Elephas maximus indicus: one gene and its partners. The protein of the gene in region 1 interacts with the protein of each later gene in a biochemical or structural test. Links are inferred from orthologs where the notes say so. Each region holds a gene or a part of one and is shown in the gene's direction. Other genes may lie near its edges.

Region 1 (7,922 bases):
TTGTTATACAGCGTTAGTTAACTAATATACCCACTCAATATCAATTCTCATCTTCTTTCTTAGAAACAAGCCTTATTCTATTTGAGCTTAGTTCTCAGCTAATGTGCTGACTTTCCCACACTCTCTCTGGAGAAGGTGGGCATTGAGATGTAAGCAGGAATTAATGGTCGGTCCTTCCCAGAAAGCTCCTTGAAAGGGTGATAGATAGACCACCTGACATTCTTCCTGTATGGAAGGTAGACTTGATAACTGGAGCTCTGTAGCTAACTAAGATCATAAGATGACCTTTCAGGTGAAAACCAAGAGCCAATGAGAGCAGAATAGGAGCAATCTGGGTGCCTAATGACCATGGCATCACGGCTTTTTGGACTCCGTAGGTATCCCAGACATTTTCTTGTTTGGGGACTAAAAAGGCATCACCATACATTTGCATTTTATTATTTGTCATTTCCTTGTACACTTCCAGCTGCCTGGACTCAATTATTTTCAGATTTTCTTTTTTTTAAAGATCTAACCCTAGTCCTCATGACTCCCTTTAGTGTAGAAATTTAGTATCCTAGTACTTCAGTCCCACCCAAAATAAAAAGCTCCAATTTCATTAAAGGAAAGCTGCATAGTAACCTGCAGAAAGGGTGTCTGAACATCTCCATTTGAGCTTGTTAGGCCTCCTTCAACGCTCAGGTAGCTGTAGCACATCCTTATTGCCGCAGCTTTAGGTAGGTGGCTGCCTCAAACAAAGGCTGGGCAAATTTTGTAGTCCACAAGTAACTGAGCATGGAGTAGTTGAAGAGCAAAACCTGGCCTTCTACAGCTAGGGGGATGCTTCACAGTAACTAGCATAGAGGTAAGTCTGTGCTCTAAAAAAAAATAGGGAGGACTTTTTTTTAAGCTTACTCAACCCAAAATTTTTAGCATTTCATTTCTGCCGTAGAGCCAGTTTACATTTACAGTCCACCACCGTAGATGATAGAGATGGGGTAGTTGTAACTATAATACGATTAATGAAGACACAGTACATAAAGTGTAAACTTTGTTGATTCTCTAATTGGTATAAAAGCCTAGACTCAAGAAAATAGTCTTTATAATGCAGTTTAGTTAAACACTGGTAATCGGCACAAATTAAATCTAAGCTTTAATAAGAAGAGAAAATTCCTTTTGGCTTTACCTAGTTAAAAGTTTCACAAGTTCTTTAGAGATACACTGTCTAATACACTGGTCACTGGCCACATGTGGCTACTGAGCACTGGAAAGTGGCTAGTCCAAATCGAGATACACTGCATGTGTGAAATGCATGGTGGATTTTGAAGACATAGTACAAATAAAGAAACCCTGGTGCTGTAGCAGTTAAGAACTATGGTTACTAACCAAAGGGTTGGCAGTTCGAATCCACCAGACCTTCCTTGGAAACCCTATGGGGCAGTTCTACTCTGTCCTATAGGGTTGTTCTGAGTAGAAATTGACTCGGCGTCAACGGGTTTTATTTTGTTTTTTTAGTACAAATAAAATAATTTTAAATATCTAATTAATAGCATTATGTTGATTACACATTGAAATGATAATATTTTGGACACATTGGGTTAAAGTACATTGTTAAAATTATCTTCACCTGTTTCTTTTTACATTTCTAAATGTGGCTACCAGAAAATCTAAAATGACATGTGTAGCTCATATTTGTGGCTTTTTTTTTTTTAATTGTGCCACGCTAGAGGTTATGGGGCTGTAACTAAGGGTATAGCTACACTGAAGTTCCATCTGTATATAATATATCCATTATTATTATGTATAATATATATACATATAAAAACCCACTGCCATGGACATATACATATATATATCCCCCCAAAGTGTAATAGTTCATTCCATAGTGTGTAAGTTCAATAATTCTCAAAGCATGTTTTTGTTTTCTTCCTACTTCTCTATTGTAAAACAGTCTGTATCTTCTCCTGAGAACTCCTTTCCCACTTTGTCTACCTGGCAATTTCTTCTCACCATTTAATAGCCAGTTGAAGCATGACTTTCTCTGTAAAATTTTCTCTGATCTCCCTTGCTCCACACCCAAATAGAAATAAACATTCTGTCCTCTAGGCTATGACAGTATCTGCCCCAGTGTTTACTGAATGCCTTCTGTTTGCAGAGCACAGGGCTAGGTGGTGGAGATATCCAGATGTGAGTGTTAGGGATATGGGTTCCCTGCCTATAGTGTTTGCGTGCTAAGTGCTAAGTACAGACAAGCAAACACCCCATCACTAAATGGTGTGAAAAGTGCTATCACAGGAGAGGTTCAGGTGGCACATCTGAGACATACCTCACCAGATTATTTTTTTGTGGTAGGTAAGCATATTGAGCCTGAACTATAAGTATCTGATCCCACAGGAACCCTGGGCTTAAAAAACAAAACAACAAAAAAACCCAAGTGTGTAAATGGTTAAAAAATTTTTTTCACATCACAATTTATTAAAATGAGAGTTGGCTTCAAAATACAAATTACTAAATAGGCATGCTTCTATTACATACAAGCCCCAGGATCCCTGTGATGACTCTTAGCCTGGAATTTGGGTATTGATTAAAAAAAAAAAAAGAACAACAAAATCATCCCAACACAATTAAGCAGGATTAAGTAAAAATGAATTCCACAAAAGGTGTGCAATTTACTTAACATGAGTGCACTGTCAAATAGGGTTTGAGACTTCAATGATTGGCTTTCTGTTGGTGTTGAGAAGGCAGATTCATTACAAGGAACTAGCAGTTCTGCTCCCCCTTTGTTCAGTCATCTAACATATGGCAGTGGACTTTTTAAAAGTAGTGTTGAAGGGCAGGACCAAGACTTAGCTTGTTGGGTTAATTATGTAACCTCAGGTTTTAAGAGGTTGTTTATCTAACAGCCTCAACGAGAAGCAAAAAGAATGTTTCAAAAGCAACATTCGAGCTGTCCAAATATCTGTCCTAGAGTCTACGCACTAAGGTAAATGTGCCTTACTCATTGGTGAGTACGTAAGTCTCTGACATGGAACCTATTTAGTTTTACTTTAGACAGGATTGTGACAAGCGAGGCTATCTGAATTCCCAGTCTGCCCAGGCTAGAAGCTGCCAATCAGAAGAGGAGGGGAATGTTAGAGGCAGGAATGCTGGCAACAGAGAGACAACTGACAACAGATTGTCAGTTAGTGAAGGGGGAGAAACTACAAAAGGCCGAGTTAGTATCTAAGTGGTAGCATTCCAAAGTCCTTTATTCAGCCATTGATGTCTTGAATGCAATGGTTAGGAAACCCTGGTGGCGTAGTGGTTATTTACAACGGCTGCTATCCAAAAGGTTGGCAGTTCGAATTCACCAGGCGTTCCTTGGGAACTCTATGAGGCAGTTCTACTCTGTCCTATAGGGTCGCTATGAGTCAGAATCGACTGGATAGAATTTTTTTTTTTTTATGCAGTAGTTAAGAGCTAAGGCTGCTAACTAAAAGGTTTGCAGTCCGAATCCACCAGCCACTCCTCTGAAACCCTATGGGGCAGTTCTACTGTGTCCTATAGGGTTGCTAGGAATCAGAATCAACTAGATGGCAACAGGTTGATAGCTCTTTAGCCTCTGGGAGCATCCTTAGCACCTGGGAAGATACCTGATATAGAATAGGAAATCGATGCGTTTGTGGAATCCACTACAATCTACTACAATAATTCATTTTAATAAAATTGACCTCGGATTTTCAAGAAAATGTTAAATGACGTTCAATGAAGTGCTTGAGAAAACAGAAACATTTATAATACATTTTGGAAAATCTTTCCCATAAAAGTTAAAGCATATTTTACCAAAAAGTTTGGCCCCTTAAAGGGACAAACTCTAATTATGCTGATCATCACTCACTGGGGCAGTTTATTTTGTATCAGTCCTGGATAAATGACGTATTACAGAACAGCAGACTTTACTAAGGAATTCACCTGGAGCAGATTTCGAACCGTGGTATATGCAAATAAACTATTACATGAAGTTTAAACCGTATAAGAAGGCAACAGATTGCATAGTTGAATCACCAGGCTGATGTAAAACAGTTTTAAAATGCACCATCACTATTAAGCAAAATATTCCTGCCATGTGCCAGGTGCTGTGCTAGGTGCTAGATTTATGAAGAATTATTTTCAAAAATGGCTTTCGCTTTCAAGACTGTGTAGGCATTCCGAAACTCTCATTCATATTTTTAAAGGTTAAGTGAAATTTTAAATGCACAATACAACCATTACATAACAGACATGGAACACGGTTTTATAACTTGGATAGTTTTTTTTTTTTTTTTTTAAAGTGCACTAGCAACTCTATTTTCAAATGCTACCAAATTGGTAAGGATATGAAAATCTACACGAGTGGAGTGCCTGACTCATTTGTGTAAGAAGTGTTTTAACACGAGTGTGCCATTTCGGTGTTTAGGGTGAGGCTAAGCTGTACTTCAGCGTTTTTGTGCCAAGCAAACACAATTTCAGCAGTGGCATCCATTTCCCTTGATAATTGTTTCAGGGGGAGTTACTAAAGCTAGAGCCAAAGAGAAACCTGACATAGGTGATGTGTTGAGGGAGTGTTAATAGTTCTAGTTAGAGGTTTGGGGAGCTTTGAAGATAAGATGTGCGAACAGCAAACGTAAAGAGAAGGGGGAAATTATGGTTTCGTATGACTCTCTCCTCCCTACACTTTCTCGCTTCACCAATCTATAACCCTCCCCCCCACCACACACACACACACACACACACACACACACACACACACACACACACACACACACACACACACACACACACACACACACACACACACACACACACACACACACACACACACACACACACACACACACACACACACACACACACACACACACACACACACACTGAGAGGCGTGTTCAGCGAGATTAGGCTGCAGGAAACCGAGGTACACAGAGCTGCCGCCCCGGCCTCGTGATGTAATTGTTATTTCTTATTCGGAGACAGAACCGAAGAGAGCTGCTGAAGTGGCAGCCCTGTTCTTTTCGCCTTGTCTTGTCGGGTCAAAGGCTTTCCGGGGATGATGTGGATTCGCTGACAGACTCCGCTGGAGACTTCGCAGTGACAAAGCAACTGAAGATAAACCCTGTTCCTGGGTCCTACGTCCGTCCAGGGAGCTGAAAGGGGCGCTCCTCAGGTCTCCTTCCCAGTTTTCCTCTCGGAGGCACTCCACATTTATCGTTGGGTGCCTACTGCGAGCTGGCCAAGGGGCCCAAGTAACCTAGTGTTAGTGCCCTCGCCCCTCAAGATTAAAGCAGGACGCACAGATTAAAAGGATGTGGAAGTTGGAGGGTGGGTGAAAGGTGCCGCGGGAACGCGTGTAGTGGGGTGAAATGGGAGGAGGGAGACTCATACGGCGCCAACAGCCAGGCAGGGACCCTGGAAGCATTTAGGGTGCCCGGTCGCCCAGGCTGCGCCCCGAACGCGAGCCCTTTGTCCTAACGTAACAGGAACTATGCCCCCAGGCCCCGGGGAGGAGCTGTCCAGGTGCCTGAGGCGGTCGGGGGCGGCTGGACAGATCCAGGAGCCGAGGGGGACGGCTGGGACGCGCCGAGCACCCACTTCTCCTTGCCGACGCGGTCCTCCCGCTCCCCCCGGTCCTGCAGCCCCGGCCCGGCCCTCTGGGTGGCGGGCGAGGAGGAAAACAACAAAATAGAGGGGTCTCCCCAGCTCCTGCAGCCTCCTGGACCCGAGCGCCCCGGAGAGACGGGGGAAAAAAGGGTTAAGAAACTTGGCTGAAGAGCTGAATGGCGTGGAGCGGCGAGGGGAGGGACTGGGCCGCGGAGGACTCGGCGGCAGAGGGAGGAGCGCGGCTGCGGGCGGGCGGGCGGGCGGGCGGGCGGCGAGCGAGGCGCTCAAAGTCAGCCTCGCAGACATTGCAGCAGAGCCCCGAACTCGGGAGGCGGCGGCGGCGGCGGCGGCGGAGGCGGCGGTCGAGGCGGAGGGACAACCCGGCCCCGCGCCCTCGCGCCCGCCCGCCCGCGCGTGCCCGCCGTGGCCTCGCGTGGGCCGCTGTGCTCGCGGGGAAGAGCTCGCCGGGGCGCAGACGGAGGACGAGGCGGCAGGGCGCCCTCGCGGACTGAGCCTGACGGAGCCGCAGGCTCCGAGCCGCAGCGGCTTCGGGTGAGTGGCGGCCGCGGCCGGGGGGCTGCGAGGAGCGGCCGCTCGCGTCGCCGGAAACGGCCCCGGAGCGCGGCCCGCGGCGTTGGCGGGCAGGGCCGCGGGGGCGTCGGGGGCCTCGGTGCTGGTGGCGGAGCGAACGCAGGCAGCGGTGTGGGCTCGGCGGCGGGGAGGAATCGTTTCCGGGGAAATCCCGCCTCTGCTTCTCCGCCCCTCCCGGGTTCGAATCGCCCCGGGAACCCGGGGGCCCGGGGGGCGAGGCTGGCAAGTTGTGGAGTTGTAGCTGGGTTCGCTAGCCCGCCCGTGCCGGCTCAGGGCCAGGGCAGGGGGCGGTTGAGGGTCCCTGGCGGCGGGACGGGCCCGGGGGGCGGGTGGCCGGGCTGGTGTCGCGATCGGTTCGGCTGTCCCCCTCGGCCCGGAGTCCCGGGCGCTTCTCGCCGCGCCGCGCTCGGTCCTGCTGCCCCGCGGCGTCCTGGGCGGCGCCGGGCGCTGCTCCCCGCTTCTCGCCCCGGTGCCTCCTTGGGCTGTGCTCGCCCGATTCCGAGCCACGAAAAGTGAATAGGACAGGGGACAGCTCTGTGGGCCCCCAGGCCCGCCCCGCCGGTACCGCTCCCGAGGGCGAGGCCCCTGGGACCCGAGGCCTCAGCCATCATTTTACCTCGGAGCCAGGAAACTGGCTTTCATTTAGGGTGAGCCCGGAAAGGTCCTCGGAGCTTTGAGGAGCCTCCTTTTCTCTCCTTAGGTATGTGTCCTCCCTATTATTTTTGAATATCGTTGATTTATGAAGGCTTTCCATGCAAATCGTTTTACATACCCGCCTATCCGTTCCAAAGTAGTTTTTAAAATTTTAATCAGGAGTTCATCTCCAGTCAGTAGGAACAAAGGAATCAACTGTGTCTTAGAGAACAGGCTGGAAGTCTGACACATGTTGATCGCTGAAGCATTACAGGAGTTTCTAGTTTTTACCACGTTAGTAATTTAATTGGTTCGTAAATAGAGGAAAATAGGAGAATGAGAAGCACTTTTGTTTTAAAATGTTTTTTTAACGGGACATTTTATTTTGGGAGAAAAATTGACTTGTAACTCAGTTGGTAGAACTCAGTTGGAGCCTATCGCCTGTAATGCAAGCGATTAAATGTGAGGTTGTGGGGAAATATTTTCTTTACAGGAAGCACGACCGTGTATAGGTGTCTAAAGTAAAAATGGTTGTCGGTTATATACGATGAGTACTCTTTTCATTTCTTAGGGAATTTGTGAAGTCAGGGGCTCTGGTAATTCATTCTTTAAAGTTATGAGTTGCGTTGAAGCCGCTTATTAGTGAATCATAGGTTTAGCAAGTGGGCGGCATCTTCCAGATGAGATTATTCAATGTTTAATCATCAGTTTGCCACCTTTGTTGAAGAGAGCAAAATAAGTGGACTTTTAAAAACAAGTGGGCGCTTTTCATCTGTCAGGCACCTAAGTGTGGGTTGCTCCCTGGAGTGTATTGAAATGTTTTTCAACTTCCAAGCAAGTTACTCTGCTTTTGTCTGGCGGTTTGGTAACAGTGGTTTGGTGACATAGGTAGGGGTTTCACTGGTTCACGGAGCAGTGGCTTTAGCACTAACAGTAACTTTTCTCTGCCTCTTCTTAGCTCTTAGAGACAAAAGAAGGAGGGTTGATCTATGGAGCAGCTGCTAACCTGCAGGCTGCAGGATTACTAGATCTGTGTTGTACACTCTGCTGGGGAAAGACCTCTTTCCAAAAAAAAAAAAAAAGGGTCTCAGGAGTGTGAGTAAAA
Region 2 (7,542 bases), on another chromosome or scaffold:
CGGCAGCTGCAGGCCTTCCGTGGTGGGTTGCCGCTCATGCTGGGGGAGGGTAGAGGGGCTGCGGGGTGGTAGTCATTCTGAAAAACTCAAACGGGGGTTGAGGACACGAACATTTGCCCTGGGCTTGGAGAGCACTTGGTGAGAGCTTGTGTTAAGTGGCTGGTTGGGGAAATGCTGCAATTCTGTAAAACAATTACCTTCTCCCCAGAATGAACCCAGCGCCCTTCAGCTAACAGCAGGGAGAGTGGAAGCCACCTCAGCCCAGAGCCCCGGCCTTTTGCTCTGTCTGCAGGGGGTGGTGTGTCTTGGTGTTTATCGTTTCTAAGCAAAAATGGAATACAGAGTTTCCGTTTCTGTCAAGGTTGGGCTGTCCTGTGAGGAGGGGGGATTGCCCCCACATTCCCTGCCTGTTTTTTGGGGGGAAGAAGGAGGCCTTTCCCCGGGGCTGGGCAGCTAGAGGAGAGGCTGCGGGTGCTGGATGCTGGGGACACTGGCTCTGCCACGCTTCTGCTCTCCGGGCAGCACTGGACCACTAGGAGGGCATTCTGAGGGGCTGGGGGATTCTGGGCCCCCCACAGGGTGTGTGTGGGGTTGGCCTTGTGCCTTTACCTCCACGTGTGCCAGCGTCTGTCTCGTTCATCTGTGCTGCTCCCGTTGTCCATTACCTGTGTCCCCACTAGTGTTGTGACACCAGCCCCCCTGCTGCCCGCTGTGGCCAAAGGGGCCAGACACAGGCTCTGCTCATCCCTGACAGCTGCCTCCCTCCTCTCTTCCTTCCTCCTCCTCTCCTGGAGTGCAGTCTGTAGTCAAGCAGCCACTGCTGACTGGCTTCATGTCTGTGAGCCCCCTGTTCCCTTTCTGTACAAGAGGGTGATGCCTACAACATGGAGTTGTTGAGAGAACTGAGGGGGTCTATTGTGAAGCGCCCAGCACAGGGCCTGGCGTGCCGTGGATATCAGAGAACCCCCCCCAGCCTGGTTGCCATTTGCTGGTGGGGCTGGGGCTCAGGGCATCTGCCTTCTTCCCTCCCTTGAGGCAGGGGCTTGGAGGTGGCTCTTCGAAGCTGAGAGGAACGAGGGGCCGGGCTGCTCAGCAGCCTGGTGCGGACCGTGTGGCCGAGGGAGACAGGACAGGTGCATTAGAGGAGGTGGCCTCTCTGGCGTTTGTGCACCCTGCTGCATCCCAGGCAGGCCCCTGCTGCTGGTCTTGAGCCCTGAGCTGGGCAGGCGCACAGGCCCTGGGCAGTCCCAGAGGGTACGTGTGGGGTGGCCTTGTGTGAGGTCTACCTGCAGCAGTGCATGAATCAGGGCTCGGTTCCCTGAACATCCCTGTAGGAGTGTGTCTGTGTATCAGTCCACCCACCTGTGTGGGCCTTGGGCCCTTAGGGTGGCCAAGGTGGTCACTCTGGGCGGGTCTTGGTGGGCACAGCACACACTGGCTTGGTTGCAGCCCTGATCAGACTAGCCCATCGATGTGGGGGGGGGGCGGTGCCCAGGGCATTGGTTTTCCCAGGGGGCATCCAGTTGACACTCCCTCTGAGCTCAGCACTTTCCTGGCGCCCTCCTCCCTGGGGTGGTGGGTGGGGTCAGCTGTCTTCCCATTTGCGCAGTGATGGGCAAGGCCTCAGGCTTTGGATGACTTGCTCAGCCCCGGGCTGATTCAGGATGGAGTTGGGGTCGGGACCGCAGCTTCGTGTGGTAGATTTTGGAGGGAGTGAGGAGCACCCCAATTCTTGTAGAGATTTTCATTTCTCCTGCCGGGAGCCTGCGGCCGCCTGCTGGTCTCGGGAGCCACGCCACTGCGTGTGGTGAGCAGGTTTCACCCCGAACTGTGTTTGGGGATTAGGCGGGAGCCCGGCAGGAAGCTGGCAGCCACAGAGCTGTGGGCAAGGCTGGGAGGCGGTCAAGAGCACGTTGAGGCCCGAGGCCACCCCGGCTGCTTCGGGAAGGGGTCTGTGCTCACTGTTGTCACAGGGAGGGGGCGTGTTCTCGACGGCATAGGCAGTGTGGGGCCCCGTAGGCGCTGCTGTGCTGTGGTTTTGCGCAGGGACCCGGCAGTTTAAGTCTCTGGAATATGGGGCTGGGGATTGAGGTTGCCTGCCCCTGTGGGGGACCCTTGGCCTGGAGGGGAATGTGGGTGCTTACTGGTTTGTTTGCGCAGAGCCAGGCTCTGGGTGGCCCACGGAGCTGCCCTCTGGGTGGATGCTGCCTAGTCAGAGCACCTGGTGCTGAGGGGCAGGGGCCCAGTGGGGGCTGTGGCCACCACAGGCCTGGTCAGTGGCTCTGGGTCACACGCCAGGGGGTGGGGAGCTCCGGTGGCTCTGGCAGGCAGCCTGGTCTTGGGGTTTGCTGAGGGAGGGGCGGCGACTCTTCATCCTCAGAGTGGCCCCAGCCCGGCCAGTGGTGGTCCTGCCCCATGGCAGCTCAGTCCCGCCTATGGCTGCAGAGGACCCTGGAGTGGCGCTGGGTGGGCTGGGCGGTCCTGGCTGTAACTTTGTTTCATTTCGTCCAGTCGGCTTGTCCTCCGTCCTGTGCGGAAAGAGAGGCCCAGCCCTATCTTGGGGTGGGGGCACCAGGAGCCCCTGCCTTTACTCCTGGCCAGGGAGGGTGGTGATGAGCTCTGAGAGCCTCTGCCGCCGTCTTCCAGTCAGTGAAGACACACAGCTATCCCCCGCTCCTCCCAGCGATATGGCTTCTGGGCTCTAGTTCCCGCCCTGAGGCCCACGATCCGCCTAGCCCTCCCACCCCCAGCTGGCGGCTCCCTTTAGGAGCACATGCACGAGGTAAGCCCCTCCTCAGTTCTCTCCTGTCCCTGGGGGCTCCTGAGGATGGTGTCCTGGCCTGTCTCCTTCACAGCACCTGCCCATTTTACAGGTGAGGAGACTGAGGCCCGAGACAGGCAGACACTGGCCTGAGGTCCTCAGGGTGTCCGTTCAGAGCAGAGGCCTGAGGCCCACTGGCTGACCTCCCTCCTGGGTGAAGCTCTGTCTTTCCGGAGGCCTCCCATGGGGAGGGGAAGTGGGCCTGGATTGAGAGTCCCAGCCTCCAGTTCAGCAGAGCCCACAGGCTGGCCAATGGCTTCTGCTTTGGTGACCAGAGAGGGTGCAGCAGGCTTTGTCTGTGCTCCAGGGCCATTTTCGGCTGCGGGGGCTCCAGCGCAGGGCCTGGTGTGAACTCAAGTGGTCTCTTGGGCCTTTCGAGGACTCCAGCCCTGTGGGGGCTGTGCAGCTGCTTTCTCAGTGCCCCCCACCCCCAAGGGCATTGCCTGGGCTCCCAGGTACCCTCTCCTGCTGCCCAGCGTCCTGAGCGGTCTGGCATTGCTGGCGCTGTCTGCTGTCAAGCCTGGGCAGGTGCGTGTTCAGAGGGCGGCCTGCCTGCCGGTATGGACGGGGGCGTCGTGCCGGCCCCATGAGTCATGCTTAGCCCAGGGAGGGGGTGGGTGGGGCGGGCTCCAGGCCGGCGTGCCGAGGCCTGTGTGTGGCCTGCCTGGGGCCTGGCTTGGGAACCTGGGGGCTGTACATGGGCACAGGGCGGCAGCTGGGGGCTGCCTGCTCTCCCCTGTGAAACAGAGGGCTGGATTGAGGGTTTCATGTCCTCAAGATCAGGTCTCTCCCTGCCCTTCGGTAAGCCGGGAGGAGGGTCTCAGGTTCCTGTCTGTGAGGTGGGGTGGGCAGGCTGGGTGGACTGGGGGTAGGAGCCCCTTGTACAGGCCCTACACCACTCAGAGCTCGCCCAGGCAGCCTGTGTCCCGGGGTCAGTTTAGAATGGCCAGGAGAGTTCAGCCAGGAGGCTGAGGGTGGGACGCAGATGGAGTGGTCAGAAGCTCGGCACCCAGGTTCCTTTTCTGGCAAGGGGAGTGCCTGAGGACCAGATAGGAGAGGGATTGTCCAGGGCCGATGGCCAGTGACCTGCCACTGTGGAGTATCTGCCACCCCTGCCCCGGCCTTGTTCTGTCCAAACTCCTGCTCCTGGGCAGCGTGGGAAAAGGAAACTGGCTGCCAGCCAGCTCCCCCAGGATCCGAGCACCTTCGGCCAAACCCTCACTCCAAGGCTGGGAAGGTCTGAGGCCAGAAGAGGGCCCTCTGGGGCTGCAGAGCTGCCAGATCAGGATCATGGAGCTTTGAGCCATAGGGGTCTCCCATGTGGCCAGTAGCCTCCACCTAGTGTGAGGTCTGCAAAGTGGAGGTTCCCCTTATCAGAGACAGCAGAGCCCTGATCTCAGGAGGGCCACCTGGAGGACTCGGGGGCTCCTTTTCTTGAGGACGGAGAGAGGTAGCCCGGGGCTCCCAAGGAGGTGGGCCAGCTGTGGCGGGGCTTAGAGGGTTCAGAGGCCTTGAAGTGAGACCAGGGGTGGGGCCAGTCTTGGAGCCCACAGTTGGGTGGGGGACGCAGACCCACAGAGGTGTATTGAGGGGAAGGGTGGGGGGGGTACTTGCCCACTGACACAAGTCTAAGGGGGTGGCAGATGAGATGTGGAATGATATTCTGAGGCGCCACAAATAGGAAAGGTGCCCGCCTGAGACAGCTGGACAAGGGGGGGAAGGTGTTTCCGCTATTAACGTCTGCTCATCTTGAATTGGCAACTTAAGAGATTGCCCCCGGGCACTTGTTACCCTCACCAGGCCCCTGCAGACCTGGCGCCTGCCACAGAGCTAGGGCTGGATGCGCTGAGAGTAGACTGCCTGCCAGCGGCAGGGAAGCCTTCCTCGAGGAAGCGTCCCTGGCGGGAGCCGAGAATAACCAAGGGAAGGACATGTTCGTGCTTTTTCTGAGGCTAGGACTTCGTCCGGCAGGGGCAGATGGCTACTCCCACACGCCGACCTCAGCTGATGTGCAGAACGGAGGGGTTGGCCCGGGCAGGCACCTGATGATGAGCGGGCAAGCAGCCAGTGGAGATCCCTGGCGGATTCAGAGGTTCTTCCGGCTGACAGGGCCTCCTGGCCTTGCCCATCTTTAGGGATTTTTTCCTGGTCAGCAGCTTCGAGGGGTGACACCGTGAATTAGTGGGGTACCCGGGTGTCCTCACCAGCCCAGCTACTGAGAAGCAGGCAGCTTCCTCACCTATTCTGGGTCCGGACACAGAGGTGCCCAGTGGTGGTTGGGCTGCGGCTATGCCTGGCACCTTTTTGTGCTCTGGGGTGGGGGTGACGAAAACGTGTCTGGGGCTTGCCCTTCGTCGTACGGTACATCCGTGTAGTGGTCAGTGGGGCTCTCCTGAGGTAGCCCCGGGCCTGTGGTCTCTCTGCTGAGGCTCCCAGCCCCCCTGCCGAGATAGGGCCAGAGGGATGGGGCAGCTGGCCAAGCTGAGGTGTGGAGGGGAACTGTGAGCTGGGCCTCATTTGCCTGCCCCCGCCCGTGCTGGGCCTACTCGTGCTGCTGGCTGAGGGTGTGAGGAAGGAAGCTGGGGGTGCTGTGTGTGTTTGCTGACTGGGCCCGGAGGGCTCCAGCCAGGGCGAGGCCCGGGGGAGGGCAGTGGGGGCTGCTGGGGGCCCGTAGGGCCTCCCAGGTCCAGGAGCCTGTGCTGAGGAGTCCAGAACAGTGCTGTGGCAGGGTCCAGGCGGCAGGAGAGAGGCCTGGCCTGCAGGCTGAGAGGAAAGGCAGGAGCCCTGGGAGTTCTCCCCAGGGCTGCCATCTTGGATGCTGCTGCCCTGGCGAGTGGACCCGACACAGGGGGCTGGATACCAGGAGCCCCTTGGGCTTGGGTGGGGCAGCAGGTCTGCGGACTCCGGGTCCTGGGGTAAGTGAAGGGTGCTTTCAGCTCACTGGTCTAGCTCTGTCCAGCCGAATGTGGGGAAACCAAGGCCTGGAGAGGGGCAGCTGATATAAGCTGGTGCACGTTTACCAGCTGGCCCTGGGGGTGGGGCTTCTCTGTGGTGTTGGCCGATTTCCGTGGTGGGAAGTCCCGTCACGGCCAATTTCAAGCCACCGACCTGACTCCCCTGAGTGTGGAGTTGCTGGGATACGTGCCTGAGAGTGGGCAGCTGGGATCCCGTGGGGAATGTGTCTCTGCCCATCCTCAGAGAGGCACATGCGTGCTTGTCACGATTCTGCACTGGGCCTGGGCTCTGTGCCTGCCACATTCTTGGCTCTTGCTGAATGTTGGGAGCACTCTGGTTGGGGGCCAGGAGGCATTAGGCCACGCCCAGGTGCAGGCTCAGACCCTCAGGGCTTGGTGTGACCTGCAGACAGGGCCTGTGTTTGTGCAGAGGTGGGGATGGGTGGGTGGGGGCTGGGAAGAGGAAGACGGCAATTGTGGAGGGTTGTTTTGTGGGGCCTGAGGCTGGTCCACACGGGTCTGAGGGGGTGGGTGGGCTGGGTGCCAGGCCCCTGGTCAGGACGAGCCCCATTCCCCCAGGGCTGGGTCGGCTGAAGAAGCTGCACAGTCCCCGGCCCGCCTGCTCCCTGTGAGGCTGAGGTTAAGCCTTGGGAGCCCTGAGGTCTTCTCTTCCCTGACCCCTGAGGACTCAGGGGTTTGTTTCCAGGTGATGTGGCTGGTTGGGCACGAATGAACCTATTGGGTGAGGTGAGCACCAAAAGGACTCCACAGGCACCTCCCCACTTCTGCCCCACCCAGGAGCACAGGCCCTCAGGCAGTTGAGGAGGATCTAGGGGTCATGGATGACCACCAGCCACAGCTGAGTTGGCTTGGCTTGCCTCTTGGGAATAAAGCTTTTGACTTGGGCTGGGCAAGGAGGAAGTAGGCTGGGCCCTGATCCTTGATCCAGGCAGGACTTGACCACACCCTCCTACCTGGGTGAGCTGGCCCAGGTGTGGTCCTGGGCCCTGAACCAGCCGTGGACGCAGCAGGGGAGGTCAAGGAGGAAATGGGGTCTGTCTGGCCAAGGTCTCGCCGAAATCGGCTTGGGGGGTTGTGTCATTGTTATGAAATACCACGTCCAGGGGACACAGAATCCAGGCCAAACGAAGATGCAGAAAAGGGCACACTCTTGCCCACCAGAACCGAAGCCTGTACCCGTTCACTCCGCAGTGTAACCCCTTGTCATTCCTGAACCCCACTCTGGGCAAGCTGAGCGTAGGTGCCTGCTCCATGTGGTGGGTGTGGGTTCCCAGCGGACTATGGTGAGCCAGGAGCTGTGCAGGTCTGCAGGGAACACGAGGGGGCCTAGGACAGCCGGGTGGGGAGAGGCCTGGGACTTGGGGATCTAGTGAGTTCCAGTGGTGTGTGCCTTTATAGGGGTGGGGGGCAACTGCCGCGGGTCCCACAGCCACTGGGGTTTCAGGTGTCAAGAGCAGTGTGAGCAGATGGTGGGTGCGTGCATGGCGCGGCCTGGATGGAGTGACCAGGGGCCTGGAGGGAGACCAAGGCCACGTGGCTGCTGAGTCCCAGGGGCTGTCGGCTTGGGCGTGAGGCTCTGTGCTCCTTCTCTGTAAGTTTTCTGGGAGCATGGACCCCTCCCAGTCCGCCCTGCTCCTCAAGCCCTGGGGCACTGGGGCAGCGCCAGCCGTGCCTCGTGAGACTGACAGCCACAGCTGAGTGCAGCCTGGGGGCTGGGTGTTGGGTGGGCTGGGAGGGCCTGTCAGG
Region 3 (7,733 bases), on another chromosome or scaffold:
TGAGAGAAGAGATGCTGATATCCCCTTAGGGTATACAAGGAAATTCTCCCCTCAGTCCTGCCCAAAAATCCCACCTATTTACTCCACTTGCTTTTCTATCTATTTCTTCTGATTCAGCACAGATAGGGGCTGAGCTCCCCTGTCTGCTTTCCTAGCTCTGAGCCCCAATCTCTTCATCCTTTGGCTAGATTGGCTGGGGAAGGGGTCTGGCTGGAGAAGACAGGCAGATGGAAGCCAGTCAGGCAGTGACATGGCAACATTTGAAGCAGTGGCTAAAAAAGGAACTAGGCCAGAGTGGGTGATTGGGGTGGGTAAAGAGGTTGTGAGGAACAGAGTTTTGGGTACCCAAAGGGAAGGGTACACTTCTTACCTAGGCTAAGAAGGTGTATAAGGAAAAGTGGCAAGAGTCCAAATCTAAAAGCCCAGAAAGACTGAAATACTTGGCAAGCATACAAGACACAGAGGGTTTCAACTTCTTTCATTTCCATAGGGAAACTGAGTCATTACCCTCTCCTAACTGGGAGATCTTTCTTTGGAAGCTTGCCTGGGTCCCTCCACTATGGGGACTTAACTGGCAGCAGGTGGATGGGGAAAGAAAGAATGTCCATCCCACACACTCATACACAGCTGGCTCCAAACCAGTTCCCTTCCCCCTCCAGTTCCCAAATCAAAATCCCTGCTTTCTGTCTGGGAGAGGAGATGATGGGGGAGAGGCCTACAGGTGACCACACCTCAGGGACAGCTCATGGGTCCCCCACTGTTCCCAGTCTCTGTCTTCTCATTGCCCCCACAAGAGGTCCAGAAAGAGACTGGCTGAACAATGAAAAGCAGAATTTGAACCAACCTTTGGAATAGCTTCCTTTCTGACACCCTGGAGGATGCCTTTAGGAACAGAAGAGAAGTGCTAGAGTGGAAGAAAAGTACTGTGATCCTGAGCCCTGGACAGTGGCAGGGAAAGGAGGCCTGCCTGCTATTTCCTTTACACTAGGGCCTGAGAGCCACTCTGCCTTACATACTGTATACTCTGCCTGCCTCGACACAGACCCTCCCATTCACCTGCTGTGGGAAGGACGCAGGATGGTCAGCCCCAGGCTTGGATGGTAAAGCAGTCTGCCCCTCAGCTCCTTTCTTTTTTGGTAAAGGCAGTGATGAGGATGCTGTAAGGGAAAGTGAAACCAGAAGCTGGGAAAATCTGAGGGATCCAATACCTGACACATTAAATGGTGAAAATAATGTGTGTCAAATAAAATACAGTCTGGGGAAGGTGTCAGCTTCTTTTTCCACTTTTTACCTCAGTTACCAAAAGCAAGGCTCAGCCAGGCCTGAGTCCCTTCCCTAGCCCCCTCTTTTGCCACCCATAACCAGTCACCTGACGGGACAAAGGAGATTGATAGAGGTGAATTGAGTGGCCACTTTCCTCTTTTCTAAGAGCTTCGCTGTAACCAAAAGGTCAGCAGTTCAAATCCATCAGCTGCTCCTCAGGTCCTGTGGGGCAGTTCTACTCTGTCCTATGGGGTCACGATGAGTTGGAATTGACTAGATGGGAATGGGGGGGGAGGTTTGGTTTTTGGCTTACTCTTTTCAGAGTAATTACTCGTTAACTTCCCACAGTCTGCTCCTCCTCCCTGCCTCCCCCCCAGCTTTTCTTTCCTCCATTTTCCCTGTCTCTTCTTGACTGGGAGATCTCTAAGGGGAAGAGACACCTGGGGTTTAGGTTCTACGGTAGTGTTTCAGTTTCTTCTGCTGTCTTTCCAGTGTACCCCAATAAGTGGGGCTGTGTCTACAGAGCCAAGGGGTATCTCCACTGTATACCTTATCACTTGCTGATATCACCCAGAGCCTAAGAGGTTGATATGAGGGACAAGAATCACCAAGGCTGGGACCACAGAGCTGGTTCCAAGGCAGGCTGGCAAAGGCTTGCTCCCAAAAAAACTGCTTGGGGGTGTGCGAGGCTTCTTGACAGGGGTAGAGGATGCTGTGTAAGATCATGGCTGCTAGGTTTTTGGAGGAAGCTGTTCAGAAAGATATCTGGAGTCTCTGGTCCCTAGGAACGGAACCCTCCAGAAATCTTAGGGTGCTTCCTAGCAACAGTCTGGGAGAAAGGGGGGAGGGAAGGAAGGAGAAAGAGAGAGGGAGGGACTGAGCATGGCTTTTCCGATGGGAGCCAGAGAACAGGCTGTTCCTGCTGCCTCCTTGGCAACGGAAATCTAAGAGAGAGCAGGCTGCCAGACAAATCCCCTTGGAGGGTCCTTATCCATCCTCACTTGTGACCCACCCTCCCTCTCTCCCTACAGACTCAGGGCTTGATATGAAGCAGAGGTGGGGGGATGGAAGGGGACAGTGCCAACACAGCCCAGGTGGGGGTTTTGTAGCCAGGAGGAATGGAAGCCAGGGATGAACTGAATCCAAGAAGAGCTGGAAGCTTCAAGAAACAGGGGTGGATAGGGTAAGTGGGGTGGGAAGAGGGATGGCCCAAAACAGGGGCAAGGGCTGTAAGGCCAGGCCTGGGCTAGATCCTGGCACCTGGCAAGATGTCTGCTGCTTTGGAGCCAGTATGCCCTTCACTTTGCCCTTGCCCAGGTCCGTCACCAGCTCATATTGGGAACCAAGAGAGGGAGAGAGATAAGAAGATGGAAAGGGGAAACTCTTCTCTTTGAGTTCAAGGTGCCTCATTCTCCCTCTGGGCCTCATCACCCCTGCCCCAATCTAGATTACTCTGGGCCTGTCTATCCCCTCCTGGTTCTGCCAGGCTCACTGCAGACTACCAGTGTATCTCATGGGCCAAATCCTCAGGCAGCCCAGTCTTATGGGGCGATTTCCATAGTGGGTGGGACACACACCCTGAGTGCTGCTCATTGCAGACTTATTCTCCAGGATTTCAGCCAAAGCTGATCACTGAGGTGGCAGTGACTCGCAGACAGCCACCCTCAGTGCACCTCGCACTGCACACTGCACGCTGCAGCCTCCAGCCCCACACTGCAGCTGTCACGTGTCCACTGTGAGCCCAGACTGAACCTGTATGTTCACTCACTCTGTGTTGTCTCTGCATACCACAGCTGCCACTGCATGCACACTGCAGGCTCCTGTCATGCATTGCACAGCCCTCATCACTGCCATCCACTCTGCACCCCATGGCTGCCACCCCAGCCGCCTTTCTCGTTGCCATGGCCCCAGGGGCCCTGAGAAAGGCACCTTCCTCTCCCCCATGAATTGTGAACCCCAGTCCCCCTTGTAAGAGAAGTGGCTCTGACAGAGCTGAGGATGCAGGTGGCTGAGACTAAGATGATTAAGGGCAGCCTGACTTGCTGAGCAACAGAACCCCACCAGAGCCAGTTAGAATCCCACACTCAGAAAGTGATTCTGCCCAGTACAAACTGGGCTATGAACACAAAGGCTCCTCCTGACACACACACACACACACCTCCACAAGAGCAGGCTGTGAAGATGGAGCCCCACCCTAGGAGATGTGGGAAGGCTGTGGCCCCCGCTGGTAAAACTGGGCTAATGACAGCAGGGGAACTGGTGGGGCGGGGGGGTGGGGTGGGGAGTGGGTGCTAGGGTAATTAGAGCTCTGCCTGGTGCTGGGAGATCCTGAGATGAAAGGGGCTCTGGCGTCACTGGGATGGTTTTATGTCCATGAATGCAGGTGTGTATGTGTGTGTGCATGGGGGGTGGGGTTAGCACAATGGAGACCTCCCTTTTGGGAAAGGGGGTCCGTTTTTATACAGCCCACCCTCCTCCTTAGAATGGCCCTGGTACCTTTGGGTTTTAGTGGGGGCAAACATGGGAGAAAATGCCATCCCTGTCAAACTGGGAGTTGAGGGGGTATGGCAAGTTTGGCCCCTCCCCGAGCTCAGCGGGGTCAGATTGTTGGGGAAAAGGCTGGTGACAGTGAGATATAAAGAGCGTATTTTAGAAAAGGGTGACATTTCAAAGGGGAGGCTGCTGATCAGTAACGTTAGAAATGAGAGGGGAGGGAGGTAATGGGGAATGAGCTGATAACCCCTAAAAGGATGACTGAAGTTAAAAGAACCTCAGGGGTCACCTGCCCAACCCTCTCATTTGAGGTTGAAAAAGCTGAGCCCTGAGAGCGGTGGTGATTTGCTCAAGGTCACACAGTGAGGTACTGGCAGAGAAGGGACCCGAACTCTGAAATGAACTCGAAACCTCCAGGCGTTTGGTATTTAGGCTTTTCCCCCCTATTTAGGAGGTGCAGGAGGCCCGTTGGCACTCTCTCCCAGGCCCCCCCCCGCCCCCATGGTGCAAACCGAAAACCCCGAACTGCCCAAGCAAAGGCTATTTTTTAAAAGACATCTTTTCCAAAATCTGTCAGCAAGTACCACTCCTGCAGGAGCCGCCTGAGCAGGGAGGGCGCATCTGAGAGGGCGGGGGCCGAGGCGGCCGAGGGGCGGCCGGGCGCTGGCGGGGGTCCCGGGGCGCGGCGGGGGGCGGGAGGCGGGGGCCCGCGGCGGCGCGGCGGCCTGCAGGGAGCAGCCGCGAGCCGGCCGGGCGCGCCGAGCCCGAGCCCCAGCCGGAGCGGGGCGGGGGAGGGAGGAGCCAGAGCGGCCGCCGCCTCTGCTGGAGGAGCCGCGGGGCCGCCACACTCGCCCCCCGCCCCCCCCCCGCGCTCACTCGCACTCACACCCGGGCGCAGGAGGCGGGCGGCCGGGCCCCACTGGCCCCCCATGGACGCCCCCGGCTCGGGGCGCTGAGACCTCCTGGTCGCTGCCCAGCCCGGTCCAGCGCGCCACGCCGAGGTAAGGGGGAGGGAGCGAGGGGGCATTAATATGCAAATGTATCGCGATTGATTATGCAAAGCTGCGGGGCTCTAAGGCTAGCTCCTAGGCGGTCTGGGGGCGCCCAGGGGATCCGGTTGCCAGCCACCGCCTTTCCCGGCGCCCCAGTTACCCTGTCATAGCCCGGGCGCTTGCAACTTACGCCCTGGGGAATGGAGGTGTTGCTGGGAGGTCGGTGGGCCCCGGGGTTCGCCGGTGGAGATGGCGTCCGGGCCTCCCCCTCTAGGGCCCGCCCGGCCTCTGTCCGGCCAGTCTGCTGCGCATTCCCGGGTCGGGCCGGGCTGCTGGCCGGCCGGAGCTCCCCCGCCCGCCGCGCCGCTGTTTGTTTACGGTGCGCCGGAGGCCTGCCCCCCCCAGCCCCCACCCCTAGCCTCCGAGGCCGAGTGGCCATTGCAAAGCTGCCTCCGGCTGCGGAGGGCAGTGGGAGTGCGGTGGGGGGGCGGGGGGTGGCCTTGCACGGGCGCGGGGAGAGGGAAGTTCCCCCTCCCACTCCACCCGCCTCTCCAATTGAGCATGGTTCTCTGGTTGCAACACTCCTAATTGCAAAAACGCGACTCGGGGGGGAAAGTGTGTGTGGGGGGTTTGTGGTCGAGGGTCCCTAGGAGATTAGAAGCGTGGCAGGTTGGGATGGCTGGGGAAGAGAGGGAGCAAAGGACTTGTGTGTATTCTCCCTCCTTGCTTTCTGCTCCTTGCAATGGGTCTCTGATGCCCCTTCTCTGTCTGGAGCCTCCCTTGTCCATGTGGAAGAAGAGGCCTGCGCGGGGGGGGGGGGGGGCAGATGATAGGGACAATGGAGAGAGCCACCTGCTTCAGGGGTGGGGTGGGGGCACAGAAGAAAAGCCAATGCTGGCTGGAGGGGGAGGGGATGAAGGGGGCTGTTGTCCTAGATGAGGGGGGCAGCGAATGTGACATGCAGACACAGAAATATGCCCACACAGACAGCCACATGCACACCCAGGGACACCCAGGCAGATTCAAGGACAGGAGCTGCTGGACACACCCACACGGGGACAAGAGAAGGGGCAGGCTGCCGCTGCACTGTGGAGCTCAGAGGGGTAGGACACACCCACGGGAGACCAAGAGCAGGGAGAGCGACCCATGAACATACCCACGCACAGGGTAACACAGAGATACTGTCACACTCAGGGGCAAGGAGGAGTCACTGTCACAAGCATGCATGCACACAGAGCGTTGCACACAGCTGCACAATTACAAAAGACCCCGTCACTCACAGGCACACATGTGCTCACATAACCCCAGTCACACAGACATCATCTCCCGCCGTGACAGCCGCTGTCACAGAAATGCAGTTACACATCAACACATGTACACAACTTAGCAACAAGTATTTTCCTGGATTCTTACTGTGTGGCTCTGGGGTTCTGTATACAGCAAAACTCCTGCTCCTAAGAAAATTAAATTCACCTTTGTGAAAAGACTTTCTTGCATCATGGTACAAGGAGGCAGGCATTCAGGATAACACGTCTTCAGTCTCTATTGATTGTCTCCTACCACCCTCCTAGCTCCTTGAGACCTGGGGGAATCACTTCAACAGCTCTGGTTACCACCCAGAGCCTAGCACAAGAAGTCCTGTAAATATGTGTTAATTGACTGTGGGAACTGCAGACACAGGTGCACTCATTTGCACAGTCCCACCGGCTCAGGTGCAGACCCAATTCACAAGCCCAGGCCCACACAGTCTCAGGTCCACCCTGACAGTCGTGTCCAGACAACCCCAGATGCACACACTGCAGCCCATGCAGTCAGACACACACCTGGATACCCACAAAATCACAGGCTTTTTTCTCCTGAAACTTCCTTCTATGTCTTCTTTCCTTCTTCCTCTAGGATCAGCCACTGAGTTTTAAGGGAATGGACTCTTTTTTTTTTTTGGAGGGACTGAGAAACAAGAGCAAAGAGAGTAGGGGCAGGGAGGTTCCAGAGGGCCCAGTCTTGGGTCTGAAGCAGTGCCCAGTGACTTCTAGCAGCTGGGATTGTCCTGAGTGCTGGGGGAGGGGGTGTCTTGGGGAGAGCTGGCTCCTAGGGAGTGGTCCTCATCCCCACCCTAAAAGCAAACTGGGGGATCTAGCTGCCCCTGCTGTGGATTATATGCCTGGGCCTTTCCTGGGGACGCACCCTAGCCCCCAGCTGAGTTCCTGCCTCCCACCATGAGTTGGGCCCCTTTTCCCACCTCGGCCCTTCTGTCCAAACTTGGAAGCTTTCCTTAGGAGGCCGTATGCTGTTGAGTGTCTGGGTGAGTGATGTGTATTTTTGACTTGGAATTTGTAACTCTCTCTCTCTTTCTGTTGCTCAGTCTTGCTGCGCCTGATTCTCCCTCTCTCTCTGTCTTTCTCTGCCAGTCTGGAACACTCTCTCACCCTGTCACTACCCCATCCTTGTCTCTGTTTCTGCCACAGCCTCCTCTCTCAGAGCTGGGAACTGGCGGTGATGTTCTTCATACTTTTCCAGTTGTTAATACTCAAACTCCGCCCCTGCGCCCCGCCTGCCCTGCCTCTGGGGTCAAGTAGAGGTTGGGGTGGGGGGTGGGGGGCTCAGCTGGCTGCTCAGGACATCCTGCGCTTCCTTAATGCTACAGCTGTGGCTGGCCAGTTTGGGGGGGCTGGGAATGGGAAGGAGGGAGGTCAGCTGCTGCCCATGCTGACCCCTCAGCTGGGGGGCTCAGCCAGGGGACACCAGCTCTGTGGAAGCCCTTGGTTTGTAGCCTGCAGCTAGCTAGGTCCCAAACAAGCCAGTAGGGAGCCTCACCTACACTGACCCAAGCTAGAAAATAATGACCCCCATGGGCAGTAGTGGGAGTTGGCACGACCTGGCTGAGCTGGGTCCATGGCAAGGCTCACAATGGCCTTTCTCCACACCCCTGGCAGCTGAGACCCACCTCAAAGATGCCCAACAGCTGTGTCCTCTTTGCCCAGGCTC
Region 4 (7,365 bases), on another chromosome or scaffold:
AGGCTCAGAGACAAATGCTGAGGGCTGGGGCCAAGAGGCAGGGGGTGGCTCTGAGTAGTGGCTCCTGCCTACCCCCCAAGCACAGGCCCACCGGCTGCACAGCTGAAAAGGAATGTGGGGAGCAAGGCTGGGTCACCCCTTGAGGGCCAAGAGTGTGCACCGTGAGATAAGCTACCCCAGGCAAGGGGCTCCAGCTGTGGCTGCACACTCCAGGAGCATGGTGGGGCAGCCCAGTCCCAAGGCTGCAGCCCAGCCCTGCAGACACCCAGCTCCTGCATCTCCTCCTGAGGGTCTTCACTAGGAGACGCTCATATACTTGAGTTTCCCAGGTCCCTCAGCCCAGCCCTGGAACTTTGAGAGCACCCAGAGTCTGAGTGTCCTGTTCACAGAGGCACAAGGTGGGTCCTGGGGACCCAGCCAACCTCACAGAGCCTCTGATCTCGCTTCTCCAGCTCTGGCTGCAGCCCTGGTTCAGGTGAGGGGCTATGGGGCCACTGAGCTGACTGTGGAGACCAGGAGCTCCAGTAGGCTGTGGGTGCAGAGGGGATGCTGTGGCACAGCGACCAGGCACAGGACTGTGAGTTGTCCCTGTGTGGCTTTGCACACTCATGTGCATGAGGGTGCGTCTATGTGCATGTGTCCACATGCTTCCTCGCATGTGGGGACGTGCAAAAACGTAGTATCCACACATTACCAGGTCCTCCCCAGGTCCCCATGTCCGAGGGACTAGACCTTCTTTAGTCCCTTAGAGAAGTGGCCCCCAGAGGCATCTGGTCTCTCCCACCCCCACCAGGTGGTGCAGCCCGAGGTCCAAGGGGCAGAGGGGGAAGAGCGTGCAGGTCTACTGCAGGCCCCTGGCTCCCCTCCCCACACTGCAGCTGAGGCTCCCGCGGCCACGGCCTTGACCCAGCACTATGGACTTCTCTGACATTGGCATCGGATCTGAACATCTGGCAGCAGGCTGATAAGGGGTGCAGCGGAAACAGCCTCTGCTGCTGCCAGTAGGCCCACCCCCTCCGCTGCCCTGCTAGGGTCTTCACACTCCCTCTGCCTCCAGCTCGTGGGCCCCAGCCCCTCTCTCTTTCCTCATTTTCTGCCTCAGTCTCTCATTCTCTTTCTTTGTTGCTTGCTTGCTCTGACCATCTCTGGGTCTGTTTTGCTGTCAGTGCATGTCTGTCCCTTTTCCTTCTCTTTCTTATTTTCTGCCTCGGTCTCTCTATGGCTTTTCTCTTTTTCTGTTTCTCCCCTTTCTATATCATATCCCAGCCCCGACTGGGGGATTCTGCCTCTCTCCTCTCCTTTTCAGTTTCTGGGTATCTGGTTTGTTTGTTCCTTGTTCCACCTCCAGGAAATAGGCCTGGCACTTTGGGAAAGTCCCCACTTAGGAAAGAGACCCTGGGCTTTGTTTGCCTGGGGAGGGAGGGAAACAGGAGCCTAGATCCCTTCTTCTCCTCTTCCAGGTGGGTCTCATGGCCTGGGACCACCTGGGCTGGAGTTTGAAGAAGAGGACAAATAGACAGGCCACCCAGGGGAAGAGTGGGGAAGACTGAGCCTTGAAGCCAGGCTCCAGACTCCTGTTGACTGGACTTGAACCCTGGCCCCACTACATCCTCGCTTTGGGACTTTGGGAAGTCTCATCTCTCAAATGCTGCTCACGGGGGTGGGAGGAGGGAAGGAGGAAAATACTACCTACTGCCCTAGAGTGGTGGAGAGGGTTCAAGACTGATTGCAGGTGAGAATGGTTAGTAGAGGACCAGGCACACAGGAGGCACTTTGGTTTTAGAGCCTTGTCATTCTCAGCTTTGTGGCAACTCTGACTCCTCCTGTGCCCATGGAGCACCCAGTATGGCTGTGGGCAGGGCAGCAGCATAGAGTAGGGCGGTAAGCAAATGCAGGCTTCATTAGAAATTTGGGGTGGAGGGTGAGGAGTGCCCAGCCTGAGTGGTCACTTCCTTCCTACAGAGAAGGGGACAGGACAATGGAGGGGCAAGTGGCAGACCTCTATACCCACAGGCAGCATCTGGAGCCCTCAGTGCAGGGCATGCAGTCATTCAACAAATACTTGCTCTGTGGTTGCTGCTGTGGACCCAGAGACAAATCAGCCCAAGCCTTCTCTTGAGGGTTCCCCAGGCTGGGGTGAGTCACTCTATCATCTCAGTTCATGATAATGTTGCACTCTCAGACTCAACACAGAAAGGGCCCCTAAGGACAGATCTGTCAGGCCTTCAGCTTGTTGTTTGTGTTTTGTTAACCTTTGCTGAGCACACACTATGTGCCAAGCAGTCACTGAGTATGTTACATGTCTTGTCTCATTTCATCCCTATTTTTCAGAGCATATGAGGTCCAGAGAGGTGAAGTGACTGATAGAAGGTCACACAGCTAGAAAGTGGAAGGAAGGAGATTCAATTGAGAGCCTCCATCGCTAGTCCTTCAGCAAGTCTCTTTCTCAGGGCGAGGACTCACCAAGAGACTGTGACCAAGCCAGCCTGGTCCCTTCCATGGCGTCATGGCGTTAAGAGACCCTGTCTGCCCTGTGTAAGAAGGCAGGGAAAGTGGACACTATTTTACAAAATCTCCCATGAAAAGAGTGCAAAGAAGTATGATTTGTTGTTGCTGTTACATGTATGTGACATGTTGGTGGTACAGGGTTTTTGCTGGGATGTTTCTTCCTTAAATCTGGAAGATGAGTGGTATTAATCCAGAAACAAAATCAATACATTAAAATGGAGAGACTCGTTAGGTTCAGTCATATGCAAGACTTGTAAGAACTTCTGTAGGTGAAGAAGATAATTACGAGTTTGTGCGTGTAGGGAAATAAGTTGTATGCTATATTGTAAGTAGAGTTAAGATATATTTAATCAGTTGTTATTAGGTGCTCTCGAGTCAGTTCTGACTCACTGCGACTGTATGCACAACGGGACAAAACACTGCCCAGTCCTGCGCCATTCTCACAATTGTTGCAGCCACTGTGTCAATCCATATCGCTGAGGGTCTTCCTCTTTTTTGCTGTCCTTCTCTAGGGCCTGATCCCTCCTGACAGCATGTCCAAAGTATGTGAGACACAGTCTTGAATCAGTTAATTATGACTGCCAGCAAAATAATTGTCTTGTATGTATTTCACAATAAAACATTTTTTTAAAAATGGCACTGCGGAAAAAAAAAAAAGACAAGCTAGATTTTAAATATAGTTGGCTTTAGTTATCTAGAAAAATCCCTCTCACCCCAAGCCAGGTTAGTACGATGTTCTTTGTGATTTGCCCATTTCCTCAAATGAAGGTGGTTGTTTGTGTATGGGGCGGTTCTCAACATAAATTGCCCCATGGCCAACCTGTGTTCCTTCTCATTTCCCAGGCCTAATGGGTGGAAGGTACATCCTCTGAGGACAGAGACTTCTTCCCTTTTCTTCACTGCAGGCTCCCCAGTGCCACTGGATGGGTGTGCCTGGAATAGTGCCTAGTGTACACTCAGCAAACATCAGATGGATGAAGGGATATACAGATGAGCATGTCATGCATGGGAGGGTACAGGGCAGAGTAATCTGGGCCCCATGGGACCAGGTCAGTTTGGGACCTGTGTGGGTCTGCAGATTAGATGGGGTCATCCCAGGCTTCTGCAAGAGACCGAGATTTCTAGATAAAACCCCTTTCCCTTTGCCCTGCCTATCCTGGCCTAGCTGCCCACTTGGCCCAAACTAGGGCCCACATAGCCAACCACCTGGCCCAGAAGGCAGTCTGAGCCCAGCCTCAGTTTTCACAGCTATCGACTAGGAGCAGCAGCCCAGGATAAATGAAGACATTCAGAGAAGCCAACAGTGAATGCACACGGGAGGTGTTCAGTCAGCTCACCTGCTTGCCTTCGGTTCCCCTCTTCTTTTCTTCACCTTTTGGAAGAGTAAAAGGACCAGGCCAAAGTAGAAGAGTCCCCTGGTCAAGTCGTTCATGCCCCTGTCTCCTTGCCAGCCTGGCCTGAGTCTACTCCCATAACTGGGCCAGGCCGGACCAAGCTGGGCCAGGCCCCAGGGAGGTAGCCATTCAAGGGGAGAGAGGCCAGGCTGCAGGCTGGGTGGGGGAGCAGCCCATAAATCAAACCCCACTCCTACCCAGTCACTAACAAGCGGGCTGCCTACCCGCCTACGTGGGGTCCCTGCCTCTGGGCTCCCACAGCGGCTTGCAATAGCCAGCCGGCCAAGGCCTACAGAGTGCCTTGGCCTCCGCCCCCACCCGCGGCCCCCAGATAGATAGGGGTATTTTTTTTTTTCTTTTAGGAGATGAAAAAAATAGACCTAAATGAAGAGAAACACCAACAAAGAAGGAGAGAGGCCTGCAGAGTCACGTGGGGGCAGAGACCAATTGGGCCTCCGGTGGCCCCCCCCCCAGGGCGGGGAGGAGGAGGAGGACGAACGGACAGGGCCAGTCTGCTATCCGCCCGCTGTCCGCCGTGGCGAGAAGGAGTTCCTGTGTGCCCACGACTGCCACTGCTCCACCTGGGCCGCTGGAGCCTCCTTCTGGACCCCCGGTGTCCACTGTCCACTCTCATCTGGTATAATTGCTCGCCTTCCGCTCCGTAAGTGAGGGCCTGGGCCCAGGCCTCTAATGGCCAGCCTCTCTCCTCAGTGCCTCCCTGCGGCCTGGGCTGGCCACTGCCTGCTTTGCTGAGTGACTGGTGCCTGCTGCCCTGGGCAAAGAAGGGGCCACGGGTCTCCTCAGACCTGCCCTCCCACCATGTTAGCCCTCTTCTTCCCTGAGCGGCTGATGGGAGGAGCTAGGCCTGTGGGGACAGGCCTTATGGGGGTCTGCGGGTGTTCCACTGTCTATCCATGGCCGAGTGTCCACAGGGATGTATCGGTCTGAGTCTAGTACTTTGTGAGTACGTCCATGGATCTCTGGGCCCCGGTCTTCGGGCTCTGGATCTCCCTGCCTATGTGTCTGTGTGACTCTGTGATGTCTCTGAGCTGTGTGTTCCATGGCTCAGTCTATAGTGTCCATCTGTCAGTCCCAGTCTGTGGCTAGGCCAGGTGTATGTGGGAAGGAGAGGGTCCTCTCTCTGCTTCCCTGAGCATGTGGGTAGAGGGCTGCAGTCACCCACATGTTGCTCTGACACTTGGAGCTGTGGCAGGAGGGCGGTGCACAATGGAGCCTTGAAGGCTAACCCTAGGGCCCCAACCTGGAGGAAAAGGGAGTGAGGCAGAGGGAGAAGGGAAGAACTAGCCCAGCTCCCCCTCCACCCAAACTGGCCCCCCAGCCCAGACTTGTTCTCACACTGCTTGGGTCTTCTTCCTGGGTCAAGATACCCCAGGTGGGCTCTAACCTAGGGAAGCCTACCAGTGCCCTCCCAGCCCAGCTCTCTCCCCCAGTAGCCCCCCTGCCTTCCCCTACAGAGGTAGTACCTCTCCTGTTTTCCATTTTCTGAGGGCCCCTCCCCTCATGGGGGCCTGTTCAGTGGCAGTAGTAGTCCACCCCCACCCTCTTGTAAATGATGTTTTTTCTTAGGGGTTTGGAGTGTGGGTGGGAGCCTGCAACTAACTCCCTCCGACTCTCTCTCGCTCCCCACCAAGATTTACGCTCATTGACTCATGGAAACCGCAGAGCCCCGTCTGTTGCGCCCATCTTTTCCATTTTATAGACGGAGAAACTGAGGCTCAGAGAGGTGACATGACCTGCCTGAGTTTGCACAGCAAGTCAGCAGCAGATTCTGGCCCTCATTTCGCGGGGTGAGCGGGATAAGGGCTGATCTGCGCAGGTTCGCTAGGCCTTGGCTCCCAGGACTAAGGAGCCAGCTCTGGCAGAAGTCGGAGGCGTCGCGGGTTCAGGTGGGGCAGGCCGTGGCCAAGGGTCCGAGCCTACCGGCCTCGGCGTTTAGGTTGGATGCGTCGCTGCGGCAGCATAATTGCAGCATTTCTCAGCATATAGAAAGCAGCTTCTTGGCCTCACCACCACCAACCCTCACTTTCCGACTCCAGGTGCTCGGTGAAGCCGGAGTAGGATGTCAGCGGACCCCTTCCTATCTAGAGTCTCAACCTCTTCACTGAAAAATGAGAGTGGTCCGGTGGTTGTTCCCAACTGCTTCGCCGGGTTGGCCCAGAGACCCTTTTGTCCCCAAGGCTGCAGGGCGCTCCCTTCCCCCGCCCCTAGCCCGGCTGGGAGCGCAGAGCCGGAGGAAGTGGGGACGGGGTTTCTTCCGCGCCAGGCTCTGTCTTCCCAATGCGCCCGCTCCCCGTGTGGCTTCCGGCCCTCAAGAGACCCTGGAAGACTTGCAGAGTGGGATCACCACTATTCCCAATGAGCGAGCTGAGGCGCATGGAGGAGAAAGGGCTTGCCCCAGCTCTCCCAGCTGAACGCGTTGTTGGGCGCTTCCTCCATGCCCCGAGTGTGCTTTGCTAACACCACTCGGGTTCATCAGCACGACCACCCTTACGGAAGAACAGTCAACATTCCCATTTCACAGATGAGGAAATTGAGGACCAGAAAGGAGGGAGGTTTTTGCTTAAGGCTCGAATGAAATAATGGGGCTGGGCCAGGGCGAGACTCTGGTTTCCAGCCTTGAACCCCTGCCTTAGCCACCGTTTCCCCCACGCTCGTCCTCGCCCACATCCATGCTGCACAACGACCAGAGAGCCCCGAGCGTGACCCTCGCCACAACTAAGCTGAACATGCAAACAGGGGCCCGCTTCCTCCCACCGCAGGCGGGTGGCCCAAGGCTCCCCGGCGCGAGGCACCTGCCCGGATCCCCTGTCGCCTGGATTCTGCCACCTCCTGGCCGCGCGTGGGCTCGGGGATGGGCTGGGACTGGGAAGCTGAGGATGAGGATGAGGGCGCCGGCCGGGCCGGGGCGGGCCTCCACCCCCGGATAACGCACACCGAGATATAGAGTGGCGGGTCCCCGGCCCCGTGCGGAGGCTTCGCGCAGCAAGCATAGGCTGCGGAGGGGCCCGGGTCCCAGGTGCGCCTTGGTTCGGCCCTGGTGGCGCGGGGGTGGGGGTGGCGAGGAGGCGGGGGGTGGGGAGCGCCGCGGCCCCGCGCCCCGGCTTCCCCGCCCCCGGCCCGAGCGGCCGTCATCGCGGGCGGGCGGCGCTGCGCCCGGGTGCGGCTCATCGCCAGCGGCGGCGCGGCCGGGAGGTGCGGGGCTCCACGCGGGCGGGACGCGGGGCGCTGCTGCTCCCAGGAGCCGCCAGGTGGGCGCTGCGCGGGCCGCGGCAGCCGTCGGCCCCGTCTCGCGTCCCCGCCCGGGTTCTGCACCCTTCCCTCGTCCGGACTTCGACTCTCCGCCCGAGGTTGCTCCTCTGCCTCGGGCTCGGCCTTCCGGAGCCCGCGGGGTCTCCGCCCGAGGTCTCCGTGGCTCCCCGCTCGGCGCCCGCGGTCTCCGCTC

What was found.
Region 2: the proteins of NRIP1 (region 1) and RXRA form a complex in vitro, tested with the Homo sapiens proteins (2 studies listed by BioGRID). The link is inferred for Elephas maximus indicus from reciprocal best matches to the Homo sapiens genes NRIP1 and RXRA.
Region 3: the proteins of NRIP1 (region 1) and THRA form a complex in vitro, tested with the Homo sapiens proteins (4 studies listed by BioGRID). The link is inferred for Elephas maximus indicus from reciprocal best matches to the Homo sapiens genes NRIP1 and THRA.
Region 4: the proteins of NRIP1 (region 1) and NR5A1 form a complex in vitro, tested with the Homo sapiens proteins (2 studies listed by BioGRID). The link is inferred for Elephas maximus indicus from reciprocal best matches to the Homo sapiens genes NRIP1 and NR5A1.

The regions. Positions count from the first base shown.
Region 1 is NC_064836.1:46,669,060-46,676,981, forward strand, and holds the start of NRIP1 (nuclear receptor-interacting protein 1), read left to right. Parts: upstream 1-4,922; 5' UTR 4,923-5,159; intron 5,160-6,066; exon of another isoform or gene 6,067-6,145; intron 6,146-7,922. UniProt on the Homo sapiens protein: Modulates transcriptional activation by steroid receptors such as NR3C1, NR3C2 and ESR1. Also modulates transcriptional repression by nuclear hormone receptors.
Region 2 is NC_064827.1:4,206,788-4,214,329, reverse strand, and holds the start of RXRA (retinoic acid receptor RXR-alpha), read left to right. Parts: upstream 1-4,509; 5' UTR 4,510-5,636; coding exon 5,637-5,736; intron 5,737-7,542. UniProt on the Homo sapiens protein: Receptor for retinoic acid that acts as a transcription factor.
Region 3 is NC_064837.1:47,293,407-47,301,139, forward strand, and holds the start of THRA (thyroid hormone receptor alpha), read left to right. Parts: upstream 1-4,536; 5' UTR 4,537-4,757; intron 4,758-4,938; exon of another isoform or gene 4,939-5,104; intron 5,105-7,733. Other genes in the region: MED24 (mediator of RNA polymerase II transcription subunit 24), read right to left, coding at 1,057-1,157.
Region 4 is NC_064827.1:75,535,016-75,542,380, reverse strand, and holds the start of NR5A1 (steroidogenic factor 1), read left to right. Parts: upstream 1-4,357; 5' UTR 4,358-4,563; intron 4,564-7,365. UniProt on the Homo sapiens protein: Transcriptional activator. Essential for sexual differentiation and formation of the primary steroidogenic tissues. Binds to the Ad4 site found in the promoter region of steroidogenic P450 genes such as CYP11A, CYP11B and CYP21B.